2 linked regions of the Elephas maximus indicus genome follow. The protein of the gene in region 1 purifies or fractionates together with the protein of each later gene. This does not show direct contact. Links are inferred from orthologs where the notes say so. Each region holds a gene or a part of one and is shown in the gene's direction. Other genes may lie near its edges.

The links.
Region 2: the proteins of DUSP9 (region 1) and MAPK11 purify together in Homo sapiens (affinity purification with mass spectrometry; 4 studies listed by BioGRID and IntAct, with this or other methods). This does not show direct contact. The link is inferred for Elephas maximus indicus from reciprocal best matches to the Homo sapiens genes DUSP9 and MAPK11.

What each region holds. Positions count from the first base shown.
Region 1 is NC_064846.1:2,702,238-2,708,856, reverse strand, and holds DUSP9 (dual specificity protein phosphatase 9), read left to right. Parts: upstream 1-4,005; coding exon 4,006-4,381; intron 4,382-5,074; coding exon 5,075-5,530; intron 5,531-5,790; coding exon 5,791-6,119; downstream 6,120-6,619. UniProt on the Homo sapiens protein: Inactivates MAP kinases. Has a specificity for the ERK family.
Region 2 is NC_064822.1:196,618,739-196,626,365, reverse strand, and holds the start of MAPK11 (mitogen-activated protein kinase 11), read left to right. Parts: upstream 1-4,560; 5' UTR 4,561-4,671; coding exon 4,672-4,787; intron 4,788-7,285; coding exon 7,286-7,415; intron 7,416-7,627. UniProt on the Homo sapiens protein: Serine/threonine kinase which acts as an essential component of the MAP kinase signal transduction pathway.

The sequences.
Region 1 (6,619 bases):
CTCTCTCATGCAACAATTGGTTTCATTCATTCATTCATTCATGTCTTCTTTGTCAGCAAGCATTTCTTCCTGAGCGTCGGCAGTGGGGCTGGGGCCAGCTGGGGGCCGGGCACACACTGGCCTGCCTTGGAGGAGCTCCCAGTCCCGCCAGGGGACAGACCAGGAAAACCAGAAAGCAATCCCCAGCAGGAAGTGGATTTGGTGGCAAAGAGACTGAATTTGGCAGCAGCGCTGTCTCTGGGAGTTGTACTCCTGGCCATGTGACCAGGCTGCCACAGCCGAAATCCTGCCACTGTGCCTGGTGGGAACGGTGCATTTCGGGGTGAGGGGCGCCGCTCTCCGGAGACTCCCGGACTAGAGGGCACAGGCGGTATGCGCGGGGCCTGAGGGCGGCGGCGCCCCTACGGCCTCCAGGGTCTGCTGGCCAGGTGGGGCTAAGGCAGGGGCATCCGGTGGGTCTGGCCGCGCCGGGCCGCCTGAGAGGGAGAGGGCGGGGGCGGCGAGTGCAGCGCCCACCCTGCGGAGAGCGGCGAGCGCGCCGCCGGCAGCCTGGCTCCGCCCGCCAGAGCGGGCCTGGCGAGGCCCGGGCGCCCGGCGCGCTCCCCTGCCCGAGCCTTCCCGGGAGCGGCCGCGAGGCAGGGCCGGCGACCCAAGCAGGCACTGCAGGGGGCCGGAGTCGGGGAGGCCTCGGCGTGGTGGGGGGGCGCTTGGCGGCGCTCAGCCCTGCAGTGCGGAGATGGCAACAGGTTCTCGTTCGTCCTGCTGCTGGCGCTGCGGGCGCTGCTGGCGCCGGCACTGAGCCGAGCACTCACTTTCGAGATTGAATCCCCCCCACTCCTAAATGCTCCCTCCCCGGGCTGCCGGGAACCACCGAGGCACAGCCGGCCACCGGCTCCTCCGTGGGAGGCCTCGCCAGCAGGGGTCTGGAGCAATAGACCCGCAATGGAGCTTTTGGGACACACAGGCTCCGTCCTCCCAGGGGGTTATTGGGACCTAGGCATCCCCTGCAGCTCCAGTCACCCCCAGGGGGTCCTGTCCAGAGAGCACCCTAGACGCTTCAGGAGCTCCTATCTCCCAGAGCTTGGTGACACTCTCTCCAACTACACTGAGTCCCCATGGCAGGACCAGTCAGGGCACATGTCTCTCCAATTAATTCCTCGCTGGCCACAGCAGACTTATGCTGGGCAATCTCCTTGGTGCCTTCAGCCCCTGCCCATCCCAAGGTCCTGTCCCCAGCTGCAGCGGGTGCCCACATATGCCTCCCTGGAGATAGGATGTGAGAGACAAGAGCCCCAGGAGCGCACCGAGAAAGGGGCAAATGAGCCCCCAATCTGCAGGCTCTTGGAGTGACAGCCTCAGGGAGCACCAAGGAGGGAGACCACAGCTGGCCCGTGAGACTTCCTGTTTTTCTTGGATGCCTGAAGGAGAGTGCCTTGTGGGGGGGTCCAAAAAAATGGGCAGAATCTGGACAGATGGCAGAGGAAGACCTATGCTGGAGGCAGGGACCAAGGTGCAAGAGAGAAAGGGGGACATGGCCCAGCTGCCTGAGGCCACCCTCCCCCCATGGAGGCGGTTTAAGTAAAACCGCCCTGGAGGCCAGGGAGGGTAGGTCTTTGCATGTTCTTAAGCAGGGACATGATGGGGCATGGCTAGAGATCAGTCCACTGACAGTGCTCCAGAAGTCCGAGGCTGGAGGCCCACTGGGGGAGGGGCAAACTGGAGGCCTAGCTTTCTGGGATCTGTTCTCTTCCACTCAGCAGTACCTCCCAAGCATTTTCTCATCTTGCTCTATTGGCTCATGAGACCAGTGTTTTCAACAGACATACAGGCATACGTACATAACTGCTCTAAACGTTGGACTTCAGGTTGCTTGGCATTTTTCACGCCTTAAAAAAACGTTTTGTGGTGTCCGTCCTGCTGTGGATAGCTTTTCCTTCTTTTAGCTTATTTTCTTCAGGTAGATTCCCAGAAGTGGTCAAAGGGAAAGGATATTTTTATTTTTCTTGATACATATTGCCAAATTAGTTTCCAATAGGGTTTTACCCGCCAATACAGCAGCATACCAGTTGCACAGCAACTTTGCCAGCACTAGGCATTCTTATTTTGAAATGCTTTGATTTTGCTACTGTAGTTGGTGGGGAGTGTTACCTGGTTTTTTGGGTTTGCTTTCCTCCATGCCTGAGCTTGAACATTTCCCCAAACATTTTCGAACCAGTTGCATTTCCTCTTTTATTCCTGCCCATTTATCAATCCTGGTCTTAAGCTTCTGATTGATTTCCGAGCTTTGTCTTACGTGCTGCACATTTTCCTTCAACACTGTGATTTGCTTTTCATGGATTTTAAGCAGAGAAGGGACAAACCCGATCACCTTTTTAGAACCCCCCATCACATTGTCCCGTTTCATTGTCTCAGCACTTGTCCCAACCTGACATTATTGTGTTTGCTGCTGGTCTGTCCTGCTAGACTCTGAGCACCGTGTGTTCTGCCTGGCTTATCACCCTGTTCCTATGGATGGGATGGAGCCCACTGGCCCTTGCTGAATGAAAGGCTGAGTTCTGGCAGCGGGGAGCTGATTAAGGGGTGACTCCCAGGATTCTGGCCGGGGTGACTGGGTGGATATGCTGGCTGAGAAGGTGGATGTGTTTGAGGAGTTGAGCAATGTGGTAGGAGCAGAGTGTGGTGGGGTGGGGTTTGGAGGTCAGAGCCTCTGGGTGCCTTCGGCCAGGCCTGTCCCACTGAAGCCCACGGGGGGAGCCTAGGGGCTGCCTTCTGCCTGCCTAGCCCTTGGTGGGAGCTCTGGGCCAAAGACAGTGGTGGGTTTCCGATCCCGGTTCTTCCTCCCCTCCACGATGTCAGCGGCATCCCACAGTAGCCCAAGGTGGTGGCTGTCGTGCATCCACTATACAGATGGTGCCGCTGAGGTCCAGACTCACTGAGTCAGTTGGGTTGGAGGCAACCCCTGGGGCAGGGACGCTGGGCTTTGGGCCTCACCCCACCCCTCCCCCACCTCCTGGCCGAGTGGCGCCACCAGGGGAGCTGTGCTTGACCAGTCCTTCCTGGGCCCCTGACTGCCCTTGGCCTCTGCCCCATCGTGTCCCGCCTTGGTGGGAGCCCCAGCTTAGCGCGCCACTTGCAGGGCCCACCCAGCTGCTCTCGCTGGAACCTGTTGGCTCCCTGGCCACCCTGAGCCCTCCCCTGCCCGCCCCTGCCCCGCCCCTCTGAGCTGCGGCTCCGCATCCAAAAGGAGCGGCTTCCAGAGTAGAAGCTGGGTCCAGGGCCAGCAAGTGGCGGGAGCGCTGGCAGAGCCGGCCTGGCCTTCCACGTGCGCGCCTCCTCAGCAGCCCTGCCTCTTGCCCAGCAGCCGGGCCTGGGGACTCGCCGCCCGGGGACAGCGCCGCACGCCCCGCTGTGGCCACGACGTCTGAAAGTGGCTGCTCGCCGCCTGATCCCAACTCCAGGTCTCTCTCCTTTTGTCCTGTCTTCCCTGGGGAAATCAGGACACCTCAGCTCCAAGAGGGCCCGCCGAGGCCCGTCACCTGGGTGTCACCTCTGTGCCCGGGCCTGCCTGGCCGTGGACGGGGGGAACTGGGCCTTGAACTCCCCCCCGCCCCCAGCACACACACGCACCCAAACTCAAAAGCCTGAACTTGGGGAGTGATCGCTGGCAGGCTGAAAGACGCAGAAAGGGGGTGTGAAGGGCCGTGGCTGTGGCCCTGTGGTGTCCCTGGAGGGACTGGCGAGGGATCCACAGCCGTCTAAGGGGCCACCAGATGGCCAGCCTTCCTCTCGCAAGAGCAGGGAGCAGTGCCGGACACCGCGTGTTTTCCTTCGGGGCGCCCTCCTGTGCGTCTTGGCTGGGGTGGTGGGAGGAGAGGAGCCGGCGATGGCGAGGTGCCTCGCGGGCCCGGACGCCTGCCTTGGGAAGCAGAGGCGACTTCGCCCGCCTGGGCTCACAGCCACCTCCCCTTCCTCCGCAGTGCCGGTGGCCAGAAGCGCAAGGGGCTGATGGAGGGCCTGGGTCGCTCCTGCCTGTGGCTGCGACACGAGCTGTCGCCCCCACGGCCGCAGCTGCTGCTCCTGGACTGCCGCAGCCGTGAGCTATACGAGGCGGCGCGCATCGGTGGGGCGCTGAGCGTGGCCCTGCCAGCGCTGCTGCTGCGTCGCCTGCGCCGGGGGAGCCTGTCGGTGCGCGCGCTGCTGCCTGGGCCGCCGCTGCAGCCGCCCCCACCTGCCCCCGTGCTCCTGTATGACCAGGGCGGCGGGCGGCGGCGGCGCGGGGAGGCTGAAGCTGAGGCCGTTGAGGAGTGGGAAGCCGAGTCGGTGCTAGGCACCTTGCTCCAGAAGCTGCGGGAGGAAGGCTACCTAGCCTACTACCTACAGGGTAAGTGTCTGCAGCCCAGCCTGGGGAGGTAGGGCCCCTCCCGCCCTGGGGATTCATAATTAATTCGTCCTTGGGCAAAGTGGAGGTAAGACTCCCTCTCTGACTCCCTGCCAGGCAGCTGGGGGCTGGGGGTCTGAGCATGACCTTGGCCCAGTCCTTCACCTTTGGGAGCCCCGATTTCTCAGTCTGGAAAATGAGGAGAACTGGGCTGACCTGACCTAGCTTGGCACATTCTCCGGCCTCCCCATGGTTGTCACGCCACCTCTTAGGGCAGCAGGAGACCAGCTCCCAGGCTCTGGGGCATACAGTCATGGCGGGGCTGGGAGAGGGGGAATGCAGCTGCTCCCCAACATCCAGGGCAGGAACAGGGCTCCCCTGAGCCTACAGGACCAGTTTTTCCCATCCCCTTCAGTTCAGTTGGTGGCCAAGGAGGGTCATTGGGTCTGCGCCCATTGCTCCCTTCTGAATATGGTCCACTTTGGGTCAGTCTCCCTGGGCTCCTTCTGCAACAGCAGCCGCAGCTGCAGATTCAGGGTGGTGGCGGGGGTGCCCACAGCCTGTGGGGCGACTCCTGATCCACATGAGGACACCAGTATAGATCAAGCTGCAGGCTTTCTCATTCCCTTTGGGGGCATCTGGGGTTAGCTCCCTATCCCCAGCCAGGTGAGCAGGACCCTCCCTCTCCCTGCACAGGTGGCTTCAGCCGATTCCAGGCCGAGTGCCCTCACCTGTGTGAGACCAGCCTCCAGGGCCATGGCGGCCCCAGCACAGCCCAGGCACCCGGGCCAGTGCCCGTCGTGGGGCTAGGCGGCCTGTACCTGAGCTCCGATTGCTCTGACGCAGAATCTGAGCCGGAACGTGACCCCACAAGCTTCGGCCTGGATTCAGAGGGTGCCACACCTCCCCCAGCGGGGCTGCTGCCATCCTTTCCTGTCCAGATCCTGCCCAACCTCTACCTGGGCAGTGCCCGGGATTCAGCCAACCTGGAGAGCTTGGCCAAGTTGGGCATCCGTTACATTCTCAACGTCACCCCCAACCTCCCCAACCTCTTCGAGAAGAACGGCGACTTCCATTACAAGCAGATCCCCATCTCAGACCACTGGAGCCAGAACTTGTCCCAGTTCTTCCCAGAGGCCATCGCGTTCATTGGTGAGTCACCCCTTGTCCCCCCTTACCCCCCAGACCTGATTCCCGGTCCCTCCTCAGAGAATTCCTCCCATTCTGTAAGGCAGACCAGGTGGCCACTTAGCTGCCCTTCCCCAGAAAGCAAGATGGCAACTTCAAGGTGGTGCGCAGGGCTGGGGCCAGCTCCCAGAGGCCTGACCTGGCATGGCCACTGGGTCACAGGGCAAGCGGGGGCTGGGAGGACCTTTGCTTCAGGCAGGCTGCCCTCCCCTGGCTCCTCCTAGATGAGGCCTTGTCCCAGAACTGCGGGGTGCTCGTCCACTGCCTGGCTGGGGTCAGCCGCTCCGTCACTGTCACCGTGGCCTACCTCATGCAGAAGCTCCACCTCTCCCTCAATGATGCCTATGACCTGGTCAAGAGGAAGAAGTCGAACATCTCCCCCAACTTCAACTTCATGGGGCAGCTGCTGGACTTCGAGCGAAGCCTGAGGCTGGAGGAGAGGCGCTCGCAGGGGCGCGACAGTGGGGGGCAGGGATCCACCACCTCCAATGACCCACCCTCCTTCTTCACAACCCCCACCAGCGATGGCGTCTTTGAGCTGGACCCCACATAAGGCCCCCCATGCCCACCGCCTCTCAACGGGTGCTCCTGACCACCTCACGTGGCGGGGGAGGGGGCGGGTGGGGTGGGACTCGGGGAGGGGGCTCAGCTGTAGGCAGGAGGCTGGGGGAGGGAGCACAATACCTCACATGGCGCGGTGGAAAGAGGCAGGGGCTGGGGCCTGGGATACTCAAAGGCCCGGCTCCCTCGGCTCCCGGCTCCCTCGTCTCACCAGCAGGGGTGAGGAGGAGAGCCTTGTCCTGCCCACTTGAAACATCAGCGAGGAGCCTATTAAACGTGCCTATTAAACCTGCCGCCACTTTCGGGCTGAACCGGCTCGGCTCCGGAACCTGCCTCTGCTGCGACTGTTACTTTTCTCTTTGGGGGTGGGGGTGGGGTTCTCATTGGGAGGGGCCATTCACTGGGCCCTGGCCGTCCCACTAATCTTCTCTCTCCTGAAAGGGTGTGTGCCTGTTAAGGCCACCTGGTTTGCCACAGGGCTCTGCTCCCAGG
Region 2 (7,627 bases), on another chromosome or scaffold:
ATGCTCACACAGCACACATGCACACACACGGCACATGCGCACACGTGGCGCATGTGTACACATGGCACGCATACACGCATGCACACACGGCACACATGCACACATGGCACACGTGTACACATGGCACACATACACGCATGCACACACAGCACACCTGCACACACATGCACACACACAACACACATGCACACACATGGCACACAGCACACATGTGCACACGGCACACATGCACACACGGCACACATGCACGCACAAGTGGGACCCGTGGCACACACACGTGCACACACAGTACATGCCACATAAGCTCACATGGCAGCACCAGCTGCACAGGCCTCTGCCATTTGTCCATCCAATACATTCTTACTGAGCACTAGTTTTGTGCCAGGCACTGTTCTGGGCACTGGGGACACAGCAGTCAACAGAACTGACAAGGCACTGCCCTCAGGGAACTTCCACTGTGGTCAAAGAATTCCAGTTCAAGCAGAAAGGGGATTTGGTAGCTCCATAACAAGGAAATGGCAGCCTCACAGCTTCAGTTATGGCTGGATCCAGATACTCACAAGGTGTCTTTGGTGTCAGCAGGGACACTGGTGGCAGGCAGCCCAGGCCTGTGCCCCCCCCCCACATGTCACTGGTTGCGGGGGATCTCTTGAAGGTCTAGATCTTGGTTATGCGCCACCCCTGAAGGGGCAGCCCCATTCAAGCTACATGGAACAAGGGTTGATGTCTCCAACAAGGAAGGCATACTAGACATACAATGGACAACCCCCCTTCTCAGAGACCAGGCCAGTCAGAGCATCCAAAAGAGGTGTCACTCATGTGCCTGGTGAATTCAGACCATGGGGCAGCAGAGACATGGACAAAGGCAACGGGGACACAGTCTGGGGGTGCTGAGCTGGGGATGTGGGGGAGGGGGCTGGGAACCAGGAGGTCTGGCCTCCAGACTCGGCCCCTGCAGCCACCTCCACCTCCACCCCGTTCAGCATCCAAGCAAGAGGAAAAGGGAGAAGGAAGGGCTCAGTGAGAAACTCCCTCACCTGCCCCCTCCCCCCATGAAGCTTGGGGTAAGACCTTCAGGTCCAACAGTCTTAAGTTTAGGTGAGGTTTTCACCCCTCACCTCCCTTTCAGGACAGTGAGGACTGTGAAGGGACCTGGGGGCTGTCCTTTCTTAGGGCCAACAGAGGAGCAAAATTTGGTGGTGTATGATGGGGTACACAGGGGTGGACAGGACAGCATGGTCAGGATGCCAACAGAAGAGGCCTGCCCGCCCTTCCTGCCACTTCTGGTCTACCTGAGAGGAGAGAGAGGTGGGGAGGTGGCGCAAGTGGGCAACTGCTTCGGAGCCATGGGTGAATCTTCCCCTAAGCAGCCCCTCCTCTTTCTTTGCTGAGTGACCTCCCGCCCCTCCCCACCATGGGGTATGTGCTTGTGCAGGAAGTAGGCTCTGACGGCAGAGAAGCAACGTCTGACCAGACAGGAGTGGTCTAGGAGACCAGTGGGAGCCTGGATGGGTGGGAGGGCAGTGGAGACAGAGAGAAAGGGTGGGGTTTTGATATTTAGGGGGGACACTGTAGGGGTGGAGGGAGACTGGGGTGGTCTGGGAGGAGGAGGCCAGGGTTCTGGCCTGGGTGGGAGCCTCTTGGGCTGAAGGCACCCCTTGGAGGTGTCCATCCTCAGGCCTGCCTCTCACCCGGCCCCCACCACGTCTGGTCCTCCCCCACCTATAGCACTCCCCCAAGCCCCACCCCCCCACCGCCATCCCTCCCACCCCCCCGCCTACCCCGCCCCTGGCCCTCATTTTTGTTTCCCTTAGTGGAGTTCGGGCCTGCTCGGGTTCCCCGCGGTGCCTCTCTCCCTGCATGGCTTCCTGGGGGCGGGGGCCTTCCCTGATTCCCCCAGGCCCCGACTGTCCCCTCTTCCTGGTGGGCGGTCTCTAAGCACTCACCACCTTCCCAAACCCGCCAGTAGTCGCTCCAGACCATTCAATCGCCCCCACCCCAGGGGCCTCTCCAGCCTGCTGGCATCCGGGGGCGCCCAGTGTACGTCTGCTGAGGCCTACGAGAGGGTCCCCACTCTGCCAGGCCGCTGAGTCCTGATCTGCCCTAACCCCTCACCGCCGGGATTCTGGGGGCGCTGCGGGGGCGGGGCAGGCGGGGTCTCCTCGGGCCGCGGGAGGGATTGGGGGATAGGAGGCGGTGCCCAGCCCCCATAAGGGGCGAAGGGCGGTGCCCGGCCACAGTGCGGGGTAGGGGCGGGGCCGGTCGCCATGGGAACGCACACACTGGCGGCTCCCCTCCCCCGCGGGTGGCCTCTAGGCCGCAGTTCCCACACCCCAGAGGCCTCGGCTCCCGCCCCTTTTTCCTCCTTTAGCTGAAGCTCCATTAACTTTGCACAAAACCTCTGCCTGCATCCGCCGTTGGTGAAAGGACCCCTCATGGCGGGGGCCTTTTCAGGGAGGCCCCGCGGGCTCGGGGTCGGAGAGTGGCGTCCTCACCCCCCCCAACTGCAGCGCGCCCGCGCCAGGCCCTGGAACAGATACCCACTCTCGGAAGAGAAACTGAGGCCCAGCATGGCTCAGGACTTGCCCAGGGTCACGGACAGTGGCCGCGCGGTGCAACTCGGACCCCGCAGCCTTTGTCCGCATCTCGCCCGCCCCACGTCTGGATTCGCCGGGCACTTGTGTTCGTTTTCCTCTGTACCGCGTTAACATTTTTTAATTTGGTTGCCAATATTTGAAATTCATAAGATTTCACACAAAAACTCGGATTTGAGCTTCTTTTGAAAAAGTAGAAGTCTGGGCAATTGGGGCCTGAATTCCACTTCCCTGGGAACAGGATCCCCCAGCACCCTCACTGGCCCCCAGGGTGGAGGTCAGGAGCCACACGGAGCAAAGAGCTTCTCCGAACTCACGTTATTTTTAAAGCGGGAAACAGAAGTAGACTGAGGCCCAGAGCGCCAGAAAAACGCTGGCTAGAACGTTTGGTGGACCGGCGAACACACTCACCTGCCCCGGGTTAAAGCAGGCTGTAAGAACTAAACCCTGAAGGCCACGCGAAGGGACCGACCGGCCCTTACTCCCGTCACCTACTCTGCGGCTGCGAGGGCTGAATTCGAAGCCCCTGCAGCCCAGAGGCGGATTGCTCACTCCCGGGAAAAGCCAGGGAGCTTCCTGAAAGGTGGGAAGGAGGTAGAAGACACCAAGGAGGATGATGTATTTAGGTACCCTCCTCGTAGGCACAGCACCCCAAACGCCCCGCCCCCTCGAAGCCGCTGTCCCTGGTCCTGACAGAGCTGGTCCCTGGGCCCCGGCGGTCACGCCTCTCCCGGGCCAACCCGATGAGCAGGAACCCCTGCTGAGGGCCGACAGCAAGCCATGGAAGGTTCACCAGGAGAGGAGCCACAACCACCAAGGCCAGAGCTTCCCCCACGGGAAGGGAAACCAGGCACTGCCATATGCCACCGAGGCAGTGGCCCTGTCTAAGGGCCTTTTTGGTTGATTTTTTAAACAAGACACCTAGTTTTTAAGTAGTATCTCCTTTCTTCTCGATAAGGAGCCCTGGTGGAGCAGTGGTTAAGAGTTTCAGCTGCTAACCGGAAGGATAGCGGTTCCAACCCACCAATCTGCAGGAGAAAGATGTGGCAGTCTGCTTCCTCAGAAACCCTATGGGGCAATTCTACTCTGTCCTACAGGGTCGCTGTGAGCCATGATCGACTCCACGCCACACAACAACAAACTTTCTTGATGAAAAATCTTTCCCAATGCTCACCCCTGGCTTCCTCGATTTTGACAGTTCTCCCTGGTTTCTGAGGGTAACACTGGGGAGACTCGGTGCCCACGCCTCACCTTCCCCGTAAGTGTGGCAAGGGGCAGGGCAGGTGGCAGGAGGTGAGGACAGATCAAGGGGAGAAGAGATAATGTGGGATCCGGGGCTGGAGGCAGGCGAGGTTTCGGGCAGATCCGCATCGGGGCCCCAAGGCTCCGCTGACCAGGGAGTGCGGAATCCGAGCGGGATAGGGGGTGCGGAGACCCAAGCAGGCTGAGGGAGATGCGGGCCACAGCAAGTTGGGGGAGGTGCAGGCCACAAAAGGCTGGGTGATGCGGGGACCCAAACAAGCTGAGGGGTACAGGAACCCAAGGGGGCTGGGAGGCATGGGAACAGGCTGGCCACAGCAGGCTGTGGGAGGTGCGGGCCACAAACGTCTGGGGGATGCGGGGACCCAAACAGGCTGCGGGGTTGCGAAGATCCGCGCGGGCGGGGGGTGCGAGGAGAGGCGGTAGCATCGGCCTGGACAAGGCGGTGCCCAGGCCGGAGACAGGACGCGGGCGACGTTTGGGGGAAGCGCGAGGCCCCAGGAGGTAGGAGGGGACCGAGAGAGGAAGCCGCCCCCCGCCCTCCCCACCGCGGCCGCGCGGGCCCGCCCCCGGCACCGCCCCGGGCTGCGAGGCCGCCCAGAAGGGGGAGGGCAGGCGGGTTTCCGCCCGACCGCCGCCTCAGAGGGGCAGGAAGCCGCGCGCTGGCCCGAGAATCCCCCCCGCCCCCGGCCACCCAGCCCGGGAAACCCCCCGCCGGTCCCGCCCCACCCACCGCCTCCTCCTGCCGCCCTCCGGCTCCTCCCGGGCTCCGGCGCGCGGCGCGGGGCCAAACTGGGCCGAGGAGGCAGCTCCGGACATGTCGGACCCCCGCGCCGGCTTCTACCGGCAGGAGCTGAACAAGACGGTGTGGGAGGTGCCGCAGCGGCTGCAGGGGCTACGCCCGGTGGGCTCCGGCGCCTACGGCTCGGTCTGGTAGGGGCGGGGCGGGGGTGGGCGGGGTGGGGGCGGGACGGGGCCGAGTGCGCCCCCTCCCCCCCTGCGGGGCCCCGGCGTGGGGAGGGGCCTCGCCTGCCCCCGCCCCCGGCCCGGCGCCGAGCGGAGGAAGGAATGGGGGGCGCGAAGGAAACTTTCCTCCCAGAGGCCGCTCCCGACCTGGGCGGGGGTGTCCTCTGGCTCAGCACGACCCGGAGCGCCGCCACCCCGGCCCGGATCCTGCGAGAGGGTGGGTTTCCCGAGCCCCTGAAGGCCTGAGCACGAATCTGACGTTCCCTGAGTCAAGGGTCTGGCAGCCCCCAGGGTCTGCAGACGGCCCCCCTGCTCCCCGGTGGGTGTTTTTGTTTGAAAAGGGGCAGCCCAGGTGGGAAAAGATGAAGACCTCCGCCCTTAGGCCGGTCTCAGGCTTCACCCGCGGGCCCTGCCCCTCCTCCTTTTCCGGGGGGATCAGGCTCCGGAGTAGGGGCTTAGGCCAGAGCAGAGGGGATCTGCAGCCACGTATTTCTGCCCCAACCAAGGGAGCTCAGGTGATAGCCCTGCAGCTGGACCCTGAGGCGTCCAGCCTGGGGCCCTGTCAGATGGTCGAGTCTGCGTGGGGCGTCCGGGACGCCTGCAGGCCTCCTTCCCCTGGTACTGGGGTTTGGAGAGGACTTAGGATGAGGTGGTTACAGGGAGCCCTGAGGCGATGTTTAAATGTTGACAGGCTGAGGCTGATGCTTGGGTGTGGACGTTGAGAGATGCGCCCCAGCACCCAGTAGGGTCTTTACCAGCGCTGCTGCCAGGTGGCTGCCGTCCACTGGAGGGGGAGGCAGGGGCCACGAGGGTGTGGCGGGTTGTTGCTCCAGGCTCTTGCAGACCGTTAGGAGGGGCAATTCCTCGTAGCTTCTTGGAGTCAAGAGCAGAGGCTTGGGGTCCGCAGGCTGATCTCACTGGTCCTTGCAGGCTGTCAGGAGCTTCGGGCAAGCCATTTCAGCTGGTTCAGCCATTCCAGCCTGAGGCCTCGGTCTTCAAGGGCAGGGGGAGGGTCTGGGACAATACATGAGTGCATCCGGGGGACCTGCAGAGCCACACTGGACTCACCTCTGCCCAGGGAATTGTCAGTCTGGGAGTTGGGGAGGAAGTGGATTTCTCCTGCTGCATCTCGGGCAGTGTTTGCATGGCCCCGGTGCAGGGGGATAGCCCTGTCCTGGGCTCTGCTGGTGCAGGCAGCAGCTGGGGATGGGGTGCGGACTCCTGTCAACTCCACTGCGCAGACGCAATCAGACAAAAGGGTTTGCTGCCAGAGATGAGGGGCCACTTGCCTCATCACCCCCCCCACAGGTGCTGGGACCATTGTAGGGTGGGTCATAAGCTTGAGGGGGCATGGATACCCCAGGCACCTGACCAGCATCCCTGTACCACCCCCCCCACCACCACTCTGATCCCCCATGAGCATGGAAGCCCTATCAGGACAGCCTGAGGCTCCATTCACTCTTCCTGAGGATAGGGGGAGGGAGCCCAGCAGACAGGAAGTGAAGCTGGAGGGAGGGAAAGGAACAGGCTGTGCAAACCCCTCCATGCCTGGGCTCCAAGCTGCGTTCAGTAGTCGGGTCCTGGTAGTGAGGACAGTGGGGACCATGGATGGGTGGGCGATGACCCTGTCCCATTTGTGTTTGAGGACTGTAGCAGGGACTGCTGTGTCTCAGGTGGCCTTAGGCAGGTGAGGGGCTGGTGCCAGACAGTCTGGACCTGTGGGGAGTGGGGTTGGGCAAGCTGACATGTTCCGTGTGTCCAGGCACCACTCTCGGCTGAACATTTCACATCGTCCACTTTTACACTGTTAAAAATAATGATGCAATAAACACCTTTGACCAGTTTTCCCTCCATATCTTGAATATATTTCCAGGACCAGGGCCCAGAGGAGGTGTTGAGAGTCCAGGGGATTTGGGGGGGAGGTCTGGGGAGCCTCCCAGAGCCCATGGGGCCATGAGGGACGGAGAGGAACGTTTCCTGACATGTCATTTGCACGCTGGCTGGCGGGGGCTCTTCCTGGGCCTAGCACTGCGTTGGGGGAAGAGTCCGTGGGCTGGGAAGCAGGAGGCGAAAGAACCGAGTCCTGTGGTGGGGCCCCGGGTAGCTCGTTCTGCTGGTGGTGGTGGGAGCTGACCCTCCTCTTGAGGAGGGAGTAGGTGTGGACGGGACGCAGAGGAGGAGGGCTTGTCCAGCCACACGCCAGCCAGCCCAGCTCTCGCCCCGACCCTGCCGTCGGCAGCCGGCAGAGGCCCCGCCCGAGGGGCTCACGTCTGAGCCAGGCCCCGGGATGGGATGCGGGGAGCGGGGCCCGGCGCAGCGGAGGGGCCAGGGAGAGGCGCTCAGGCGGCCGGCGGCTCGGCGCCCGGCCCGGCCCTCTCCTCCCGGCTCCCCGCGTGCCGGCCTGGGGCGGGGGGCCAGGGCTGAGCCCAGACCCGTCGGCGTGGCCTCACTCGCCCGCCTTCCAGCTCGGCCTACGACGCGCGGCTGCGCCAGAAGGTGGCGGTGAAGAAGCTGTCACGCCCCTTCCAGTCGCTGATCCACGCGCGGAGGACGTACCGCGAGCTGCGGCTGCTCAAGCACCTGAAGCACGAGAATGTGAGCTGGGGGAGGGCCAAGAGGGCGGGCGGACCAATGGGGCCGGGGCGGCCTGGGGGCAGGCCAATGGGGGCCTGGAGCGCTGTGGGGGCGGAGCGCCCTGGGACGGACCAATGGGGCGGGGAGCGCCAGGGGGCGGAGCCACCGGGGCGCGGCGGGCCTGGCGCAAGGGGGGGTGAGTGCGTCCCTCTGAGGCCTCGGGGGCGGGGCCA